Linked DNA regions of Drosophila melanogaster. The protein of the gene in region 1 interacts with the protein of each later gene in a pairwise test. Each region holds a gene or a part of one and is shown in the gene's direction. Other genes may lie near its edges. The genes, in order: eIF2Bbeta, inv, Pdhb and CG15169.

Region 1 (3,944 bases):
GGCAATCAATCAATCAAATATATGTACATATATACTAATAAGTCCAAGTATCGCTGTTCGGGTTTTCAAATAAGTCCGGTTAACTTACACACAGAGTCACCAAAGCAATAACCAAAGTTTAATGGCAAAATGTAAACCCATATGTAATTCAAGAATGCCAACCAAACCTCCTTGAGCTATCGCGGTAGAAGTTCCCCAACAGTTTTATCAAGCTATTAGGAGCTAAATGCGGAAGTGGCTGCTTATCAGTTTCTTTGGCAGCTTCACATCTACCCGAACGACCATTCCCCGCCTGCCACTGCTCCTACACCACCTTCACCTCCACCTCTTCGACTCGTTTGCTTTTACTGCTGATGTTGCTGCTTGCGTGGACAGACCCACGTCGAGGTTTCGTGGAAGTGGCTCTGGGCAACGAGGTGAATCTGCTAAGCGGTGAACCGGCTTGACCTGCTGAGCCCGACGACCTGTTGGACTTTTGGATAAGCACTCACCCGTGGAGCTGAGGAAGATGTCGCCTGGCCGGGTGCGGGCGTAGCGCATGCTGAGGCCCAGGATGGCATTCTGCAGGGTCAGCGTCAGCAGGCTGATGTACTTCAGCGTATTGGCGTTCACTGTGCGATGGGAATAGGAATACGTGACGGGGGCGGGCAGGAGCGCCATGTCAGTACCGCTGGAGTAACGCCACCGCACTAAAGGCCAAATACTCACTGTGTATGCTATTCATGGTGCTACGCTTCTAGCTCTATTGTCTCAACTCCAAAACCAAATAGAAACCGAAGGCAAACAAAACGCCGTAGTTGGGGGTACACAAAGACTCCGTTCCTGGCCAAGATCAGTTGTCGGCGGGCCGTTCCGTTTGGCAGTTCGTTCCCTTCAAGTTGGCCAGAAAAGCAGAAGAGCGCAAATGAAGACGACTCCACTGGACCGGGCGACACGTAAACAACAATCAGAGCCCGAAGCTTCTGCCAGCGGCGGCTTTTTATCGCCGCCTATGTGGTTGTTGTTGCTGCGCGCCAGGGACGTGGTCCTGGGCTTGCAACGGGGGTCATAAATGCGAAACCTTCTTAATTGAATGCAAACAAAATTTAAAAGTGCATTGTGCATTTCAGTAAAGTAAATACACCTTACATATGCTCCTGGGGGATGGATCCCCATTTTAAAGCAAGCTACGCCCATGGCGTGCAGCTTTTGTTGCTATTTTCGCAGCAGAGACCGACTTTTCGATAGTCACAGTGCTGGCATTGTGGCGGAACTCGCGAAAAAAGAAGTTGCTTGCAAAAAAAGCTAGATATACAATAATCGGGCATTGAGATTGCTTAAATTAATGTATATATTATGACTTTAAAATTAAAATTAAAATTTAACAAGAGAGCATGGGGATCGAAAGTAGAAAACAAGAAAACTCATGGACGAAATACATAAATACATATTGTGCATGCTTGTTCTACATGCACATGTATGTTAAATTTTTAAGCCCAGCGAAATTTATTTTTGCCGCACTAGGTTGGCTATTTACTCAGCTGCCGTTGAAAATACGTCATGAAAGCCAGTATATGCAGACAATTAAAATAAACATAAAACATCAAATTAAGCCAGTGAATGATGAACAACCTGTTGGCGGCACCTGATAATTGCGATGCATCAAATTTACAATACAACATTACAAATATATTGCCATTTGGGGGGATTAAATAAATTAATTTAATCAAATGCAATAAATGAAAACATTAATAATTTCCGTGTTGATTTTAAATCTTTTACTTTTTTGAGTTCATCACTAGAATTCGCTTTCGCCTGCCGCCTATCGATAACATTGCTCGGTGTGGCGATTTCGTAAATAGTTTTCTAACTGAATAATGGTAACAGTTGGCCACTTTAGTTGATAATTCATAATTGCAAAGACCAGAGACGCCAGGACACGATGAAGGAACAGCCGCTAAAGGAGATCACACAGCTCATCCACGCCATCAAAGTGGGGTAAGTCGTCGGTTGGCAGGCACTGCGATTCATTTGGTTGTTAAAGTGGCATATGTTTTGCAGGCTGGTGGAGGGATCCTACAACATAACCAACAAGACGCTGGACATCTTCAAGTACATCATCATGAGCAAGAGCTGGCAGAACGCCGAGTGAGTTGCAAGGGATGGCACACCAAGGATAACACATTAACTGATAAACAACTCCCCCTCATTTGACAGTGCTCTCATGCAGATTGTGCGCGACCAGTGTAAGATCCTGCAGGCAGCTCTGCCCCAGGAGACGGTTACCTCGAACATTGCCAGGCGGATCCTCAAGCTGACTCGCGAGGAGTTCGATCTGTTGCACGCCAAGGTGCAACACTTCGCGGACGACTCACAGGCCTCGCTGTCGCTTCACAAGCTAGTCACGCAGACCAGCGAGAGCAACGTCAGCGTAGATTACTCGGTGCCCCAGCATGGATTGCGGGAAGCGCTGCTCGACCACCTGCAGGAGGTGGAAACGGAGCTGGAGACCAGTTCGGAGAACATCTGCGTCCAGGCCGAGGAGCACATCCATTCGTCGGAGATCATCTTGACACTGGGACACTCGCGCAGCGTCGAGAATTTCCTCAAAAGGGCGATCAAAAAGCGTCAGTTTCTCACCATCATCGTAGCCGAATGTGCGCCAGCCTGCCGGGTTAGTTGGGTCTCTTTATGGGACGACAGTATTTGTGGGGTGTAAGAAAATGCTCTTATGTTGCTTAACAACTGCCTATGTCTTTTACAGGGTCACAATTTGGCCGCCAGCTTGGCCAACGAGAAGAATGTGGAGATTGTTGTGATCCCAGATGCGGCCATCTTCGCTATGATGTCGCGCGTCAACAAGGTAATAATCGGTACGCACAGCGTGCTGGCTAATGGAGGACTCAGAGCGGCGTGTGGAGCGTATACAGTGGCCCTGGCCGCCAAGCATTACTCCGTGCCGGTCATTGTACTGGCGCCCATGTACAAACTCTCACCATTGCATCTGTGCGAGCAGGACGCCTTCAATATGGTCGGCTGTGCGGAGGATGTGATACCCTACGATTCGATTCCAGCGCGCGAAGCCAAGGTATACAGTCCCATGTTCGACTACGTGCCTCCGGAACTGGTCACCCTTTTCATATCCAACACGTAAGTAGTGCGCTTATCGGCCTTTCGACTCTTTTTTATTGCATTTATTGGATTCTTTTTTTACTTAGCGGTGGCCATGCCCCCTCGTATGTGTACCGCCTCCTTACGGAACTGTATCATCCCGAAGATTTGGAGATTTGAAATCGTGTTTGTCTCGTTGTTTTAGCAATTCTACCAATAAAGTCTACAGTAAAGTAGCAAGCCCATTTCGATTTGGATTGATTTAAATGCATCAATTTCGTAGACATTTATAAACTTTAAAATTCAACAATAATTATATCGAATAAGCAATAACGGTGGATCGGTTTTCGATTTAAGAACATTACTACTTTATCTTGGGTTGATATAGTTAATTTCAGGTAGCACGTTTCTCGTAATTTCCCTGCGGCACACGATCCTCAACCTATTTTTGAATATTTTCAAGCAGCTGCGTGAAGTCGGCCAGGCTATCGGCATAGTAATCCGGCTGCGCTTCCACCGGGGCGTTCAGCATGTCCTCCTTTGTTAGGCAGCCGCTAAGTACCAGCAGGGACTGGAAGCCGCAGGCCTTGCCGAACTGCACATCCTGCACCAGTGTGTCCCCGATGAAGATGCAGCGCTTGCAATCACGAATCTCGAACATTTCGCCAAACATTTCGCCCAAAATGGGAGACGGCTTGCCCAGAAACGTGGCCTCGCGTTGCGTGTAGCGTTTAACGTGCTCCAGGAAGTCAAAGAACCCGGCCACATTGAGATTCTCCGCCAGTGGCATGATGACATCGCTGCCGCCGGCTATCAACTGGCAGTCGTCATTCTCCTGAAGGTGCCTAATGGCC
Region 2 (4,938 bases), on another chromosome or scaffold:
TACCTGCATCGAGGCATTGTGCAAAGTACTCGAGGCAGCTAAGCGAATTATACTGTATTAGGTAATGTTCGGGTCTTTAGGCAAATAAATGGTAAGGGTTAAGTGACAGAAGCTCGACTGTATGAAACTATTTTCTTGTACTCCATTCCTTTTCCTAATCATACTGCGTATAATTGTTTCTTTTGTCGAGGGCTGGAAATTAAGCCTGATTAATTCGTTTGTCGGTGCTTATACTATCGCAGTGTCGGCATCTGGCATTGGCTTCTTTGTAATGGTGCAACAAAGTTATTAAACTGGCTTGGATTGCTTTGCATTTCGGGGCGTGGTTCCACCAATACGATTCGAAGCGATAATAAAGCGCGGACAGCCCGAAAAACTCCATGATTCGGGCTTTATGGGTTCAACAGCAGCGATAAAAAGATCGCTGGAATTCCGATATTTTATGTCCAATCTGTCGGCGATAACGGAGAAAAGGTGCAACTTTGATAGTCGATTTCAGATATGAAATATGATACATTAACCGATTTCGGCTGTGTCACTAAAGAGGTCCGCAGCAAATGATGCAAATGAATGCAGCCATTCCTAGAAATCTTTTCGTGGACTACAACAAAGTTTTCTGATTTAATTAAAAGAGTGATCGGCATGCCCTGCACAACCTCACTTCAAACAAGGCAAACTCGTTTTCACCCCACACATGACACACACAAAAATGTCTCAAATACTTGAAAGGAAAGCTAAATACAGATTTATGAGCACAAAGCACAGCAACAATGCAGTATGTTCGCCAATTAGACAAGCCCAAGCAAACGTATGTCAAATTTTCATTGGCGGGAGAAGGGGCTACTTAAATTGGTCAGGAATGGAGGATAATTTCCATAGTACATGAACGAAGTGACTTAAATTCTAAAAATAATGTCTTATGTAAGTAATCATGAATATCAAAGTTTGATTTTTTTATTGATATCAGATTGATTAGCTTGTGGGACCAAATTTAAATTACAATTATTTTGGCATTACTAAGAGGTCTTTAAATGCCGGACAAGGTGTTCAGTAGAAACCCAGCAAGCTGATCATTATCCCCCCAGTGCTTTTGAATCTACGCCCATGATTAAGCGTATGCAATTGCACACGTATTGGTATTCATTTACGCAGAACTATCATCAATGTTGTCCGATGGGATGTGTGAAGGCAAAACGACAACAAACAATAAAACGGCGACAAAAAAGCATCAAAAGCAATTATGAAATCACGGCAGATGTTGGGGCAACAAAAATTGTGGTGGTGATTTATAAAGCGCAGCTAACAACAACAATGACATCAAAAAGCGCAAAAATGTTCGTTGTATCGGAGCAACAAGAACAATAAGTAAAAGGAAGCGAAGGAGTGAAGGAGACGGGGAAGCTGTGGCATGTGTTGTATATAAACAGGCACACACTCCATATGTGTGTGTGGGTATATAATGCTGGACGGCGGATAGGATGCCAGCAAAAAAGGACTGCAGATGCCAGACCGCAAAGAGGAGCGAAAGAAAGGGGGAGTGAAGTGATGATGATGGAGGAGGAGGGCGAGAGCAGCCTACATAGAGTGAGATTTACGACTTAAATGCTGCAGCGCATAATCAAAACGACAAGGCGCAGATGGAAATGGAGTGGAGTTCTTATCCCTATTTTCCTTCTTTTTCGCTTTTTTCTTTTTGCGGCGACGACGCACTTAATTAACAAATATACAAACACTTAACATAACCTCAACTGACAGGCGGCTGACCGTGTGCGCGAGCGGGACAACAGTAGGGCACGCCCCGCAGCCGCTGATTGGATGTTCGAAAAGCCAGAGCAGGACGGAGAGTGAGAGAGAGCGTGTGCGAGAGAGAGTTCTCTTTTTGAATCGGCTCTCAGCTGCAGCCGTCTCGCTTTGCTATTCAGTTCGCGAGAGAATCAGTTGGTCGGCGGTTCGTAACAGCGCACGTTACGTTTTTAACGGACGAGCGGATTAACGTCGGTATCGACAAGTTTATCACCCAACCCAAAAACCAATTGTCAATCGAAGACGATAGCGCGGCGTATTTGCCAATCCAAGTGATATCTTTTGGCTGTGGTTAATGTTTTTAATGCTTTCTGGCTGCCCTGAAATGCCGTCGGCTTTTGGTCCCTGTGAACTTTCGAGCTGAAGACCTAAGCCCTCAAACTGATGTCCACCTTGGCCAGCACTCGACCGCCCCCGCTCAAGCTGACTATTCCTTCCTTAGAGGAGGCAGAGGACCACGCGCAGGAGAGGAGAGCGGGCGGAGGTGGCCAGGAAGTAGGTAAAATGCATCCGGATTGCTTGCCCTTGCCGCTTGTCCAGCCGGGCAACTCGCCCCAAGTGCGGGAGGAGGAGGAGGACGAGCAGACGGAGTGCGAGGAGCAGCTGAACATAGAGGATGAAGAGGTCGAGGAGGAGCACGATTTGGACCTGGAGGATCCGGCCAGCTGCTGCAGTGAGAATAGTGTCTTGAGTGTGGGCCAGGAACAATCGGAAGCAGCACAGGCTGCGCTATCCGCTCAAGCTCAGGCCAGGCAGAGGCTTTTGATCAGCCAAATCTATCGACCGTCGGCATTCAGCAGCACTGCTACCACTGTTTTGCCGCCCAGCGAAGGTCCGCCCTTCTCACCCGAAGATCTCCTGCAACTGCCTCCCTCCACTGGAACCTTCCAGGAGGAGTTCCTGCGAAAGTCCCAGCTGTACGCCGAGGAGCTGATGAAACAGCAGATGCATCTAATGGCCGCCGCCAGGGTGAACGCTCTCACGGCAGCGGCGGCGGGAAAACAGCTGCAAATGGCAATGGCGGCGGCGGCGGTTGCCACAGTGCCCAGCGGTCAGGATGCACTGGCTCAGCTGACGGCCACGGCATTGGGTCTGGGACCCGGTGGAGCGGTGCATCCCCATCAGCAATTGCTACTGCAAAGGGATCAGGTCCACCACCATCATCACATGCAGAATCACCTGAATAACAATGAAAATCTGCACGAAAGGGCGCTCAAATTCAGCATAGACAATATCCTGAAGGCGGACTTTGGTTCCAGATTGCCCAAGATTGGTGCTTTAAGTGGCAATATCGGTGGTGGCAGTGTAAGTGGGAGCAGTACTGGCAGCAGTAAAAATTCTGGAAATACCAATGGCAACAGATCTCCCCTAAAGGCGCCCAAGAAGTCGGGAAAGCCACTGAATCTGGCTCAAAGTAACGCCGCCGCCAACTCGAGCTTGAGCTTCTCCAGCTCGCTGGCGAATATATGCAGCAACAGCAACGATTCCAATAGCACCGCCACCAGCAGCAGCACGACGAACACCTCGGGGGCACCAGTGGATCTGGTCAAGTCGCCACCGCCAGCGGCAGGAGCGGGTGCCACAGGAGCATCCGGTAAATCGGGCGAGGATTCCGGCACTCCCATCGTTTGGCCAGCGTGGGTCTACTGCACCCGCTACAGCGATCGTCCCAGCTCAGGTGAGTCCAAGTCTCTTTAAAAATTTTGCTTCAGTTATCTAAGTTGTCTAGCGAAACATAAGTACAAATATTGATGAAATAATATTGTATATTTCTACGTTTAACGTACTTTTTATGAACTTTGTGAATGCAAATATAGTTTATGAAATTACGTTTTGGTGTTTTGAATACTAATCTTCATAAGCTTGAAAGAAAAGCCTTTGGTTTCAAGTTTTCTCGTTAACATACGATTCTCCAGCACCATGCCAGTATTATTATAGATATTCTGTAGTAGATCCTGGCAAAATTTATTTACTTGCATATGTTTCTATGGATATTTCCTGCATTTTCTAAAGCATCTTACATCTTATGCTAAAGCAGTGCACTGCTAGTCACTCACTCTTTCTCCAAACTCAAACACACTCGAGGAGACGAGCTGTTGAGTGGTGGCTCATAAAGCGGTTGTGCAAACAAGCGACAGACACCACAGAAGAGCCGGCGAACGGAGCCAAACCACAGCAACCCACAGCTCATTAGTTTGCCAACCACCGAAATGAAGTGAGTGCGAGCGAAAGGGAGGCGAACACTCACCCCGAAGTGAAGTGTCTGCTCGAGTGGTTTTCATGTCCTTATGGCTTATGTAACATAACTTAAGCTCATTATGCCGCTACACCCCACCCACCCCGTGTGTGTTTTTGTGTGTGCAGCACCACCCCAACCCGTCGAGAACAACCCCAAAACAATCTCCCAGCAATCATGGCACTCTCATGAATTTAGTTTATGCCACCGCAGGGAATTCGTAATCGTTTGCCTAATAATTTCATGGCTGAAATTTGGGGGGGAATCGGATGGGTGGGAGTGCCCCATATGCTCATTTATGGGGTGGCTTATTGCTGTTTGAACAAGCAATTCGGATTCCTTGATAGTTTTTGGCTAATCCCCTGGAATCTCGGGTAAGTCCATGGATCATGTGGTTCAAGTGGCGAATGGAGAGTGATTTAAGCCACTTGATGGCAGTCATTTGGTTAAGGTGTTTACCTTTATTAGCTTGCTCAGCTAGTTTATTATCGGTAATGAATTGCCAAAGGTTTACTCAATAGACTGAATGCATTTTATCACAGATACTTGATATTATAACACAATATTAAAACGTTTAAGACCTTACTAAACTTTGGTGTTCAACAGAGTAGTTGACAATAGCATTATTCAATTACAATATCAGCCTTAAATGGGCATATAATTACGAGAGTTACTTTATCTTTAACTAGTTAAATTTAATTGCTTTATTAAGTATCATTGAATGCAATTTGTAAGATTGCCGAGCTCAGCTGTTTAAGCACTTACGACAGTTTTTAGCCAATTATCCACACGTTTTATAGATCTTAATACACCAGCTTGAAGAAAGTAACGTTGAAATATCAGTAAATAATTGTAATTCATCCATCAAAAGTCGTCCCTTCTAACTACCTGATTCCCAA
Region 3 (5,572 bases), on another chromosome or scaffold:
CAGCCTTGGCCAGAAACATTGTATCGCCGCTCAGGTGATATGCAGACAGCAGTCCGCCTAGGACACGTATGGTGACCTCGAATAGGTTTACATCGCGCTTGGTATCAAAGCGCAGTGATTGCTCTACCCAGTCGCGTCCTTCCTTGAATTCTGTGTAGATGTTATTGAGAAAAATAAGGAAAGTATTTCCATAAACTAATGATTTTGTGCACATTAGGATATAGGCAACTTACCATCATCCAGTCCCATTATGTACATGGTATCCAATGAGTCAACAATGGTTAGTCCCAGACCGAACCACTCGTGGGAGTACTGGGAGATGGGCTTCAGGTTGTCGTGGCCCCAGGCATACTTCTTGTAGCCAGCCCAGGAGTGCTTGAAGGCGGCTACAACAGCCGACTGTCTTTCGTTGGTGGCGCCATGGAAGTGCTGGCCCTTGGCCAGAATGGGCTTGATCTTTTTGAGATGCTCTTTGAAGCTAACGCCGCCCAGAGTGAGTGGGTTCTTGATGGCTTGCTCAAGCTGCTCGCCCTCGCTAAGCGGCTCTGCTGGATCCTGGGCGACGGGCTCCTCTACATTGTTTAGGATGTCGATTCCACCGATGTCCTGCTCCTTGTTACTATCGGGGGGAGGCAAGGCCACGGCCATGGCCGAGGCCTGGGGAAGTCCTTCAGCAGCCACCGTCTCCGGCAGACGGGCCACGTTCTCCGCTGAGTTCGCTTCTCCATAGGCAACTAGCTCATTAAACTGAAATTGATTGATATTGAGATATCATTAATAGATTTTACTGGAAGTGTGCTGCGTGGGCAATAAATCAAACACCAATAGTCAATCGTATTGATACGCATGCTATCTTAATAGGCAAACAACTCCAGCCACTTAGGCACTTATCAATTAAGTGGGGGGCCTACTTACCTTATCACTAACCGCCTCCACCCGGGGTGCTCTCTTATCGGCCGGAACAGGTACCGCAGCAGTGTCTTTGGGCACATCCTTATCCACCCCCGGATGATGGTGCGGATTGGGCAGGGGCATTTGATATGCTGCCACCTCGGCCTTGGTGTCCACATCCTTTAAGCTGGCAGCCAGCAGCTGATCGCCACTTAGGCAGAGCAACACTGTCACGCAGAATCCGGTGATGCCCAGAATAATGAGATTGCGCTGACAACGCGGTAGCTGATTCCAAGCCTGAACCGTGAGACAAAAGATCGTACTTATAAGTTCTGGGTTTCTTGAGGATGTCCCAGGACCCCAGCAACTGGACTTCTGCCAGGTTGCTACCTACCCGACGCAGGCTCTTCCTGCCCCGCTCGTCCGTCGTCGCCGCTGATCCCGGCGGGAGTGTGAGCGTTATGTGACCGCCGTCCTTCATAGTGTTTCACTAAATGCCGCCGCCGGAATTCAGAGTGTGGGAAAGTTGGATGGGAAATTCCACAGCATTCGCCTCGAATAAAAATCGATTGCTGTGCGCCGCTGGCCGCGGAGGAATCGGAGCTAACTAACCAAGGTTGGTCCAACTACTACCTCTTTTATGCCTTAATCATCTCTATACGTGCCAGTGCATTAATTTATATATGCTAGTTCTGGCCCACACTATGCAAAATTACAAATAAGAAATTCTAAAATTATTTCACGAGAGCTGCATTTTTGAGCTGCAATGCTGCCAACTTGTTCTTCAACAGTCCGGCCAAAACTAAAGATGGGGCTAGCAATCATTTACTTTTGAAATACCTCTTAAATAAAAAAAAAGCAAATTAAATTATATTTTAGATATTATCACTACTTTATAAAAGAATTTTTCTAAAGAATATATATTAATACGAAGTGGCTAATTTTTTCGAAAATCCAGCTAACACAGTATGAATTTAGCCAAATCTAGAGTGGCCAACACTAGTCCCACTTAACAGTGATTTATTTGGCAGCCCTGGTAAGCTCCAAGTGTGCCCACAATACGGCATTAAAGTGGTCACATCTGGTCACATCCCATTTTCACATCAAAATTTCGACGGAAGTCGGTGCGTAAACCCATAGCCCATTTTTAGTTAGATAATAGCACTTAAAACCCAAAAAATAACACCTACAGCCGGCAACGATAGCGATAGACCCATAGGAAAGCGAACCGCAAACCGACGATGCTCCGAACCCGACTCATCCAGGCGGCCAGCTCCGCCCAGCGAGCGTTCTCCACCAGCCAGAAGGCCCTGGCGGCCAAGCAGATGACCGTGCGAGATGCCCTCAACAGCGCATTGGACGATGAGCTGGCCCGCGACGACCGCGTCTTCATCCTGGGCGAGGAGGTGGCCCAGTACGACGGTGCTTACAAGGTGAGATCTGCGACTTTTCCTGCCCCTGCGCGATTACGTAAACAGCAAGCAGGCGGTTGCGACGACGACAGCTGATGCAGGTGGCCGGGATGGGGGAAGTTGGTGGTCAGCGGGGTGATATATGCGTGCTATATGTAACTACTGATAGTGATTCCGAACAGGTCGACGCGAATCCGAATGCGTGATCGGAGTGGGCAAGGTCACGCAGAATATGTGTGACCGACTGTCTGCTGATTATATAGATTGGCCCATAAAACAACGATTTGTTTACCCATTTGAGGTGGATTGATAACCGGCGTTAGCAATTCTATCCTATTAGATTCATTTAAACTATGATTGTGGCTACTGGTGTAACAACTAGATAGGACACGCAAAGTACAATACAATTACCTGTTAGAATAATGGTATTTCCTGAAGAAATCTTAGTTAATGAGTTATCAGCTTGGAAAGTTTTACAAACAGATAAAAGGTTCCCATCCTGAATAAGCCCTACATATTTTTCTGGTATCCTAACATTCTATTAATCATTTAATGCCCTTTTTAGGTTTCCCGTGGACTGTGGAAGAAGTACGGCGACAAGCGCGTCATCGACACGCCAATCACAGAGATGGGCTTTGCCGGCATCGCTGTTGGCGCTGCCATGGCCGGTCTGCGTCCCGTGTGCGAGTTCATGACCTGGAACTTCTCCATGCAGGCCATCGATCACGTGAGTTGCCTCATCCTTGTCCTAAGAACCACTCCCCGCACTCCAGCAGTAGGCTAACTACTCATATTATCTCATTGCCAACAAAACGTAAACCAAAAGAAAGAACACGACAATCCAATACAAATGCCTCACAACTCCAACAGCTAGCAAATAGACCAATTCAAGTGCAATATGCAGCGGCGCTTAATGGGATAATATGGGTGGATTAGCTCCTGCCCCAAGTCATAGATCGGACCTCACTAATCCCCACCCATATTATCCGATTATGTGCAGGCAAAGATACTCGATTGCGCCAAGCCGCCAGTCGGTGATCGCCCTCTGCCAATAAGCCTCATAATTGAAAGTCCACGCTCAACTTGGCTGAATGAGATCAACGACATCCTGCACAGAGATCGAGTCGGCGAGGTGATTGCGCCGCCGCTGGACAAGAGCAAGTCGGACAAGATGGAGGCGGCCCGCCTCATCGTCATTCGGCGGCGCAAGATGAAGAAGCACAAGCTAAAGAAGCTGCGTCGCAAGATGAAGTTCGAGTGGGCCAAGGTGCGCCAGCGCCGCGAGATGCGCAAAGAGAAGGCCTTCCAAGCAAAGCTGATATCCCAGATCAAGCAGGCGGAGGCATTCAGTGCGGAGCAGCACGTGGCGGAGATCCTGCGGCAGGCCAACGAGACGCCGCTGCCGCGTTTCTGGAAGGGACGCCGCCTGCCGGCATTTATCATTAAGCAGAAACTAGGCATTAAGTAAAGATCAAGACGGAACAGAAAGGAGTGCATCAAATAAAGCGTATTAACTTGAATTGGCGAATTTGCAGTTTGATGGAACAGGCATCCACACTGAGCATTATTTTCATTCATTTTTCACTTTATTATTTCTAAGTCATATTACACATTCATAATAATATGGATTGCTAAAATATATCCCTTTAAAATTTCAAATCTTAGATCATCAACTCGGCGGCCAAGACCTTCTACATGTCTGCCGGTGCCGTCAATGTGCCCATTGTGTTCCGTGGTCCCAATGGAGCCGCTTCCGGTGTTGCCGCCCAGCACTCTCAGTGCTTCGCCGCCTGGTACGCCCACTGCCCCGGCCTGAAGGTCCTTTCGCCATACGATGCCGAGGATGCCCGCGGACTGTTGAAGTCCGCAATCCGTGATCCCGATCCAGTGGTCTTCCTGGAGAATGAGCTGGTCTATGGCACGGCATTCCCTGTGGCCGATAACGTGGCCGACAAGGACTTCTTGGTGCCCATCGGCAAGGCCAAGGTAATGCGGCCGGGCAAGGACATTACCCTGGTGGCGCATTCCAAGGCGGTGGAGACATCGCTTCTGGCAGCTGCCGAGCTGGCCAAGAAGGGTACGGCACTGTTTTACTTTGAATGACGCGAAAAGTAGCTAACCTTCTCTTATATGTTTAGGTATTGAGGCTGAGGTCATTAACCTGCGCTCCATTCGTCCTCTGGACACGGCGACCATCTTCGCCTCTGTACGAAAGACCCACCATCTGGTGACCGTGGAGAACGGCTGGCCCCAACACGGTGAGTGGGAAATTCAGCTAATTGAAAGCCTAGCGATATTTATAAATTTTTACCCTCTTAGGCGTTGGAGCTGAGATCTGCGCCCGCATAATGGAGGACCAGACCTTCTTCGAGCTGGACGCCCCCGTATGGCGCTGCGCCGGCGTGGATGTGCCCATGCCCTATGCCAAGACGCTGGAGGCCCACGCCCTGCCCCGCGTTCAGGATCTCGTGGAGGCGACTCTTAAGGTCTTGGGTGGCAAAGTGGGCAAGGCCGCTGCGGCCAACAAGTAGGAACTCAGGACTAGCCAGCCTCCCGATCGGAACCCCCAGCTAACTAAATTTATAGTCCAAGTCGAAACGCTGCCTCTGGTCTAACCGAGCTGCCCCCATAATAGTGCACCGAACTGGAAATTGAATGTTCTGAAAATAAAGCACTACCGCTTTCGGGTTTTGATTAGTTTTCGGACGTTCTAGTTTAATTATTTGGTTATAGAAATCTCTTGTGAAAAATAAACGAAAACATAAATACATTTTGAGTGCTTATATTTTGGTATAGTTAATGATATAATATCAGAAGATAAAAAATATATAATTCTTATCGTTAATGATTGAAGTTTAAAAAGTGCGCGCACCGATGAAAACGTTTTCCTATTGAACGCTGTCCAACACTGACGACATCTATTTTTTCGATATCAGCCTATCGTTTAGCAATAGGTGTCCTCATATCGATAGCGATAATAGCAAAGTTAACAATAACAAAAGATATAACATAACAAATAATTGCAATGCTTTGGCTGTAATGGCAAACAGCTCCAGCTCCGACGAAAGCTGCAAGGCCCCCGACAACTTTCGCATCTCGAGCGCCTCCACAAACGGCGAGGACGAGGAATCAGATGTCGCAGGATACACAACAAAGCGCAGGCCAACGGCAGCGACGAAGGAACTGTTGAAGGATGCGAACGCCAAGGATAGGAACGCCACCACGGGAATGGGTGCCCACATGCGGTGCCCACTGTGCCACAGCTGCAG
Region 4 (3,706 bases), on another chromosome or scaffold:
ACATACGGCTCCAAATCTGTTGGAATTTTAGTAGAACATCCTCTGACAACGCGGCTTAGTCTGCGAAAGCTGAAGCAGTACTTATCCTCTTGCTCACCCAACAGAACATCCTGCTGGCATTCCTCGTATAAGCTAACATTGCACCTGCCGGTGTTGACCTGAAAGAGATCTATCTTGCAACCCCGGCCGATTGCTGAATCGCAGGTGGCGCAGACTTGGGTCCAAGCTCCTTGCTCCTCATTGCAGCCATTGATCTCACACAGTTGGGCGGAAGTGGACAGCGTGTGATTCTGCTCGGAGGTACAACCTCTGTAGGCATCTGAAGAACTTATGACATCCGTGTAGCACTGATCCTCTTCCAAATGATAGCGACAGGGTTTTGGTTTGGATGCTGGAGCTGCCACGCATTCCTGTCCAGCGCAATGATGGCACTTAAGTCGTCCCGGCGGATAGACACCCGCATTGCACAGGTTCGTTGAGCAAGTCTTTGAGTAAGTCGCTCCGATGATGGGGGTTTCTGCTCCGCAGCCGCGGTATGTAATGGAGTCCACTAATTTGTGTGCGATTAATGGTATAGAAAATCGGAGTTACTAAATATTTCAAATATGTATCAATCAATATCAATGGTCTTTACCTTTGAAATATTAATGAATTGCAAAAATAGATTCTATAAAATGGCCGACTATCCGTCGATTTAGAAACAATTACAAATCACATTTAGGTTCACTTACCAATGGACATGGCACACGTCAGCTCGGTAGCGCACTCCTTGTAGGGAAGAACTCCCACTTCTCCGAGGGTCTGGGAACATTCCGGCAGGGCAATGGAATCGCAGTGGTAGCAAACAATGCCAAAACAACGGTCTGCTATTAAAAAAAAAAACCCCTCTAAGGTTACAACGCATTTTTCCGTGGGAAATCGCAGGTAGCTCACATCTCAGGAGGACCAGGAAAAGGAGGAGCAGGTGGTGGAAGCTTGAGTGGCGATTTGTCTGCAGTCCACGCATTTTGACAGCTCATAAAGAATGTAGTGCACCTTTGTTTGCAAAATTGGAATCCCTAATCTGTTTATGACTTATCAGACAATATAACAATGAGTTGATATAGGCGAACTGTTGATAAGGATAAGCTGGAAAAAGCCATTTAACTTTAAAATAACCAAACATTATCATTTAAATAAAAAGTTACACTCGCTAAATGTGTTCTTAAATTGCCACCATAAAAAACTTACGTTGGTAGAAATTCTTCAATTATTTTAAGGCTTAAAATAGAGAGTTGCTTGATGTCCTAACGAAATCCTTTCGATATAGATAATTTCCCAACCACAGTTGTAAGGTTACCCAACTTTATTCCGGCATATGCATAATGGCCAAAAATGTCATGACCATAATGTGCTCTGTGCCTTGACCCCATTATCGGAGTGTCCCATAGGTTCCATCGAAACGTTCACATCATCAATAATTTAAGGGCTCGCATTTGTTGCGGGAAAGTCTGGAGCTACTCAAAAGTGTGGGTCAAGGGTCCGGCGACCGCCCCAACATATCGATTTAATTTAGAGACCGGATAATTGCGTGACAATCAGCGGATTCGAGTACACATACCACATGTCCAGGCGGCTTAATGACCATCGACCTCAGTTGCCAGCTAAACAGGCACGGGACAAGTCGGGAATAACAAACCCATCGGTGGCCAGAACGGAGCAAATACCCATGCTTGCAGAGCTCTTCAAAACGGGGATAAACCGATAACGAAAGATACATTCTGATAAGCCCATCCACTCGGCGGGTTCCGTTCAAGATTCATTCGCCATCCGAGTCATACACTCTGCGAAGCTACAACCGATCGGTGACCACGATGCGGATGAGATTGCTGGTCATTTGGATTTCCCTAACTGCTCTCCTTGAATGGAGCAGGGCGCAGGAGGACAACATTGAAGAGTTCAGCTTAAGCGGCGGACTAGCGGGTGAAAAGTCAGAAAACTCAGGCATTGAAGCCGGTGAAAATGACACAGAATCCCTAGGACAAAGTCACTTATTTTTGAACACAACACAAAGTCCAACTGATGACCCTGAGCCTACACAGGAACTGTCATCTATTGAAAGTCAAGTTGGACAGGTAGGCCACCAGTCTGGAGAGGATGAGAAGGAACCGGAAATCACAAGCTTAGACACTAATTCGGAAACGGATAACAAATTAGAAGGGGACAAAGAAGAGCCAGAAAAGGAATCCACCGGGAATTCCGGTGGCTTTGCGCCAACTCAAGTTCCTCAAACCGACAAAGTAGACCAATCGTCCGGACATATGGATACTTCGGACTCGTCTTCAGACTCTTCAGTGACTCCCGATACTCGCCCATCAACTTCACTAGAGGAGGTCCTGGAAACTCACCCAACAAACAAAACTGAGGAACCAATGGGAGGATCGCCCGATTACCCGGCTGATGGGCCCCAGGAGGACACCACAACTCCACCCCCAGAAGAAACAACCTTGGCACCACACAAGCCCCCAGTTGCAGATCCAGAACAGAAACCCCTAAGCTGCTATTCCTGCATGTTCTGCAACAAAACGATCACCAATGAAACAAAGTCAAACTGCGGCCCGATACCTGGCAAAAGGAATGGATGTCGCACCATACTGCTCAACGATCCCAATGTCGTTCCGGGGAAGAAGTACTTCCTGCATCGGGGCTGTGTATCCGAGTTAGATATGGAGCTATCTCGCTATTGCGCCGAGAATGAGAAGCTGTGTCCCACGTGCTACGAGGACAATTGTAATGTTCACAACATGACTGAATATGAAGTCACTCCGGGCTCTGCAGCAGTCACCCATCATCCGGGGGTGCTATTCCTTATCTGGAGCATCGGTTTGGTTAGCTGGCAGGTGGCTTTTTAAAAATCCACCCACGCTATTCTGAGTCATAACAATTAAAAAGTAAATGGAGATTGGCATACTTAAAAATCGATAGGTATGACTAATACTGAAAATCGCAGATTATATCGCTGTCTGTCTAGATAAATTAGTTTATCTATGAAATACATAAGCCCAATTAATATAAATTTCTGTTACGAAACTTAATCTATTTGCAGCGCGTGGGGATTTTCGTTTTCTTTCTTAAATAGTGAAATATACTGTACTTAATATGCAAATGTATATAAAATAAAGCATTTCAAGGCGAAACATTTGATTGAGAACATAACTAGTACTTATATTACAAGATAATTATTGTTCAGCAGCTGCTTAATGGATCAGGGATACTGGGAACGGTTTTTAAATTTGGTCCCTTGAGTACGTTTCCTGAAACCATATCATTTAGAGGATATAAAATGGCTCAACAGAACCTAGACTGCAGTTGGCTAAGTCATCGAAGCGTGTCTATAAGCACGGATCAGCGGAACCAAAATTGAATATATCTAGAAATTAAATACGTTTTGTTTAAGAATGTGTCTGCTTTCCAATAATATTATTCTACTTACTATACTGTCAGTCCTCGAAGTCCAGGGACTTTACCAGCAGCAAACAAGTACAGTGTTACCCACCGTAAAGTCCACTATGAGCTCAGACCATACCACCGGAATGGAGGAAAGTTCGTCACCTGTCGAGGAAACAACAACGCTTTCTCCGCCTATAAGATGCCTCAGTTGTAAATTTTGCTCACCCAATGAGGGGAAAACCAGAACTAGGAAGGGCAAAAAGATGTGCCACATAAA

The links.
Region 2: the proteins of eIF2Bbeta (region 1) and inv interact in a two-hybrid assay, tested with the Drosophila melanogaster proteins (one large-scale study listed by BioGRID).
Region 3: the proteins of eIF2Bbeta (region 1) and Pdhb interact in a two-hybrid assay, tested with the Drosophila melanogaster proteins (one large-scale study listed by BioGRID).
Region 4: the proteins of eIF2Bbeta (region 1) and CG15169 interact in a two-hybrid assay, tested with the Drosophila melanogaster proteins (one large-scale study listed by BioGRID).

What each region holds. Positions count from the first base shown.
Region 1 is NC_004354.4:2,702,797-2,706,740, forward strand, and holds eIF2Bbeta (eukaryotic translation initiation factor 2B subunit beta), read left to right. Parts: upstream 1-1,774; 5' UTR 1,775-1,921; coding exon 1,922-1,977; intron 1,978-2,040; coding exon 2,041-2,127; intron 2,128-2,196; coding exon 2,197-2,653; intron 2,654-2,743; coding exon 2,744-3,129; intron 3,130-3,197; coding exon 3,198-3,270; 3' UTR 3,271-3,421; downstream 3,422-3,944. Other genes in the region: Ugalt (UDP-galactose transporter), read right to left, coding at 492-660; CG2680 (uncharacterized protein), read right to left, coding at 3,533-3,944.
Region 2 is NT_033778.4:11,473,789-11,478,726, forward strand, and holds the start of inv (invected), read left to right. Parts: upstream 1-1,919; 5' UTR 1,920-2,187; coding exon 2,188-3,481; intron 3,482-4,938. UniProt on the Drosophila melanogaster protein: Engrailed (en) and invected (inv) are functionally redundant transcription factors in neuronal precursor cell NB5-3 specification.
Region 3 is NT_033777.3:29,111,126-29,116,697, forward strand, and holds Pdhb (pyruvate dehydrogenase E1 beta subunit), read left to right. Parts: upstream 1-1,945; 5' UTR 1,946-2,015; exon of another isoform or gene 2,016-2,083; 5' UTR 2,084-2,132; coding exon 2,133-2,324; intron 2,325-2,868; coding exon 2,869-3,030; intron 3,031-3,303; coding exon of another isoform or gene 3,304-3,771; exon of another isoform or gene 3,772-3,821; intron 3,822-3,968; coding exon 3,969-4,380; intron 4,381-4,441; coding exon 4,442-4,561; intron 4,562-4,622; coding exon 4,623-4,834; 3' UTR 4,835-5,072; downstream 5,073-5,572. Other genes in the region: alpha-Man-Ib (alpha-Mannosidase class I b), read right to left, coding at 1-150, 234-747, 916-1,188, 1,286-1,372; Atg14 (Autophagy-related 14), read left to right, coding at 5,343-5,572. UniProt on the Drosophila melanogaster protein: The pyruvate dehydrogenase complex catalyzes the overall conversion of pyruvate to acetyl-CoA and CO(2). Might play a role in regulating synapse structure formation at neuromuscular junctions. Might play a role in maintenance of mitochondrial morphology.
Region 4 is NT_033779.5:18,989,222-18,992,927, forward strand, and holds CG15169 (uncharacterized protein), read left to right. Parts: upstream 1-1,798; 5' UTR 1,799-1,853; coding exon 1,854-2,891; 3' UTR 2,892-3,188; downstream 3,189-3,706. Other genes in the region: CG15170 (uncharacterized protein), read right to left, coding at 1-550, 732-866, 934-1,006; CG46465 (uncharacterized protein), read left to right, coding at 3,438-3,706.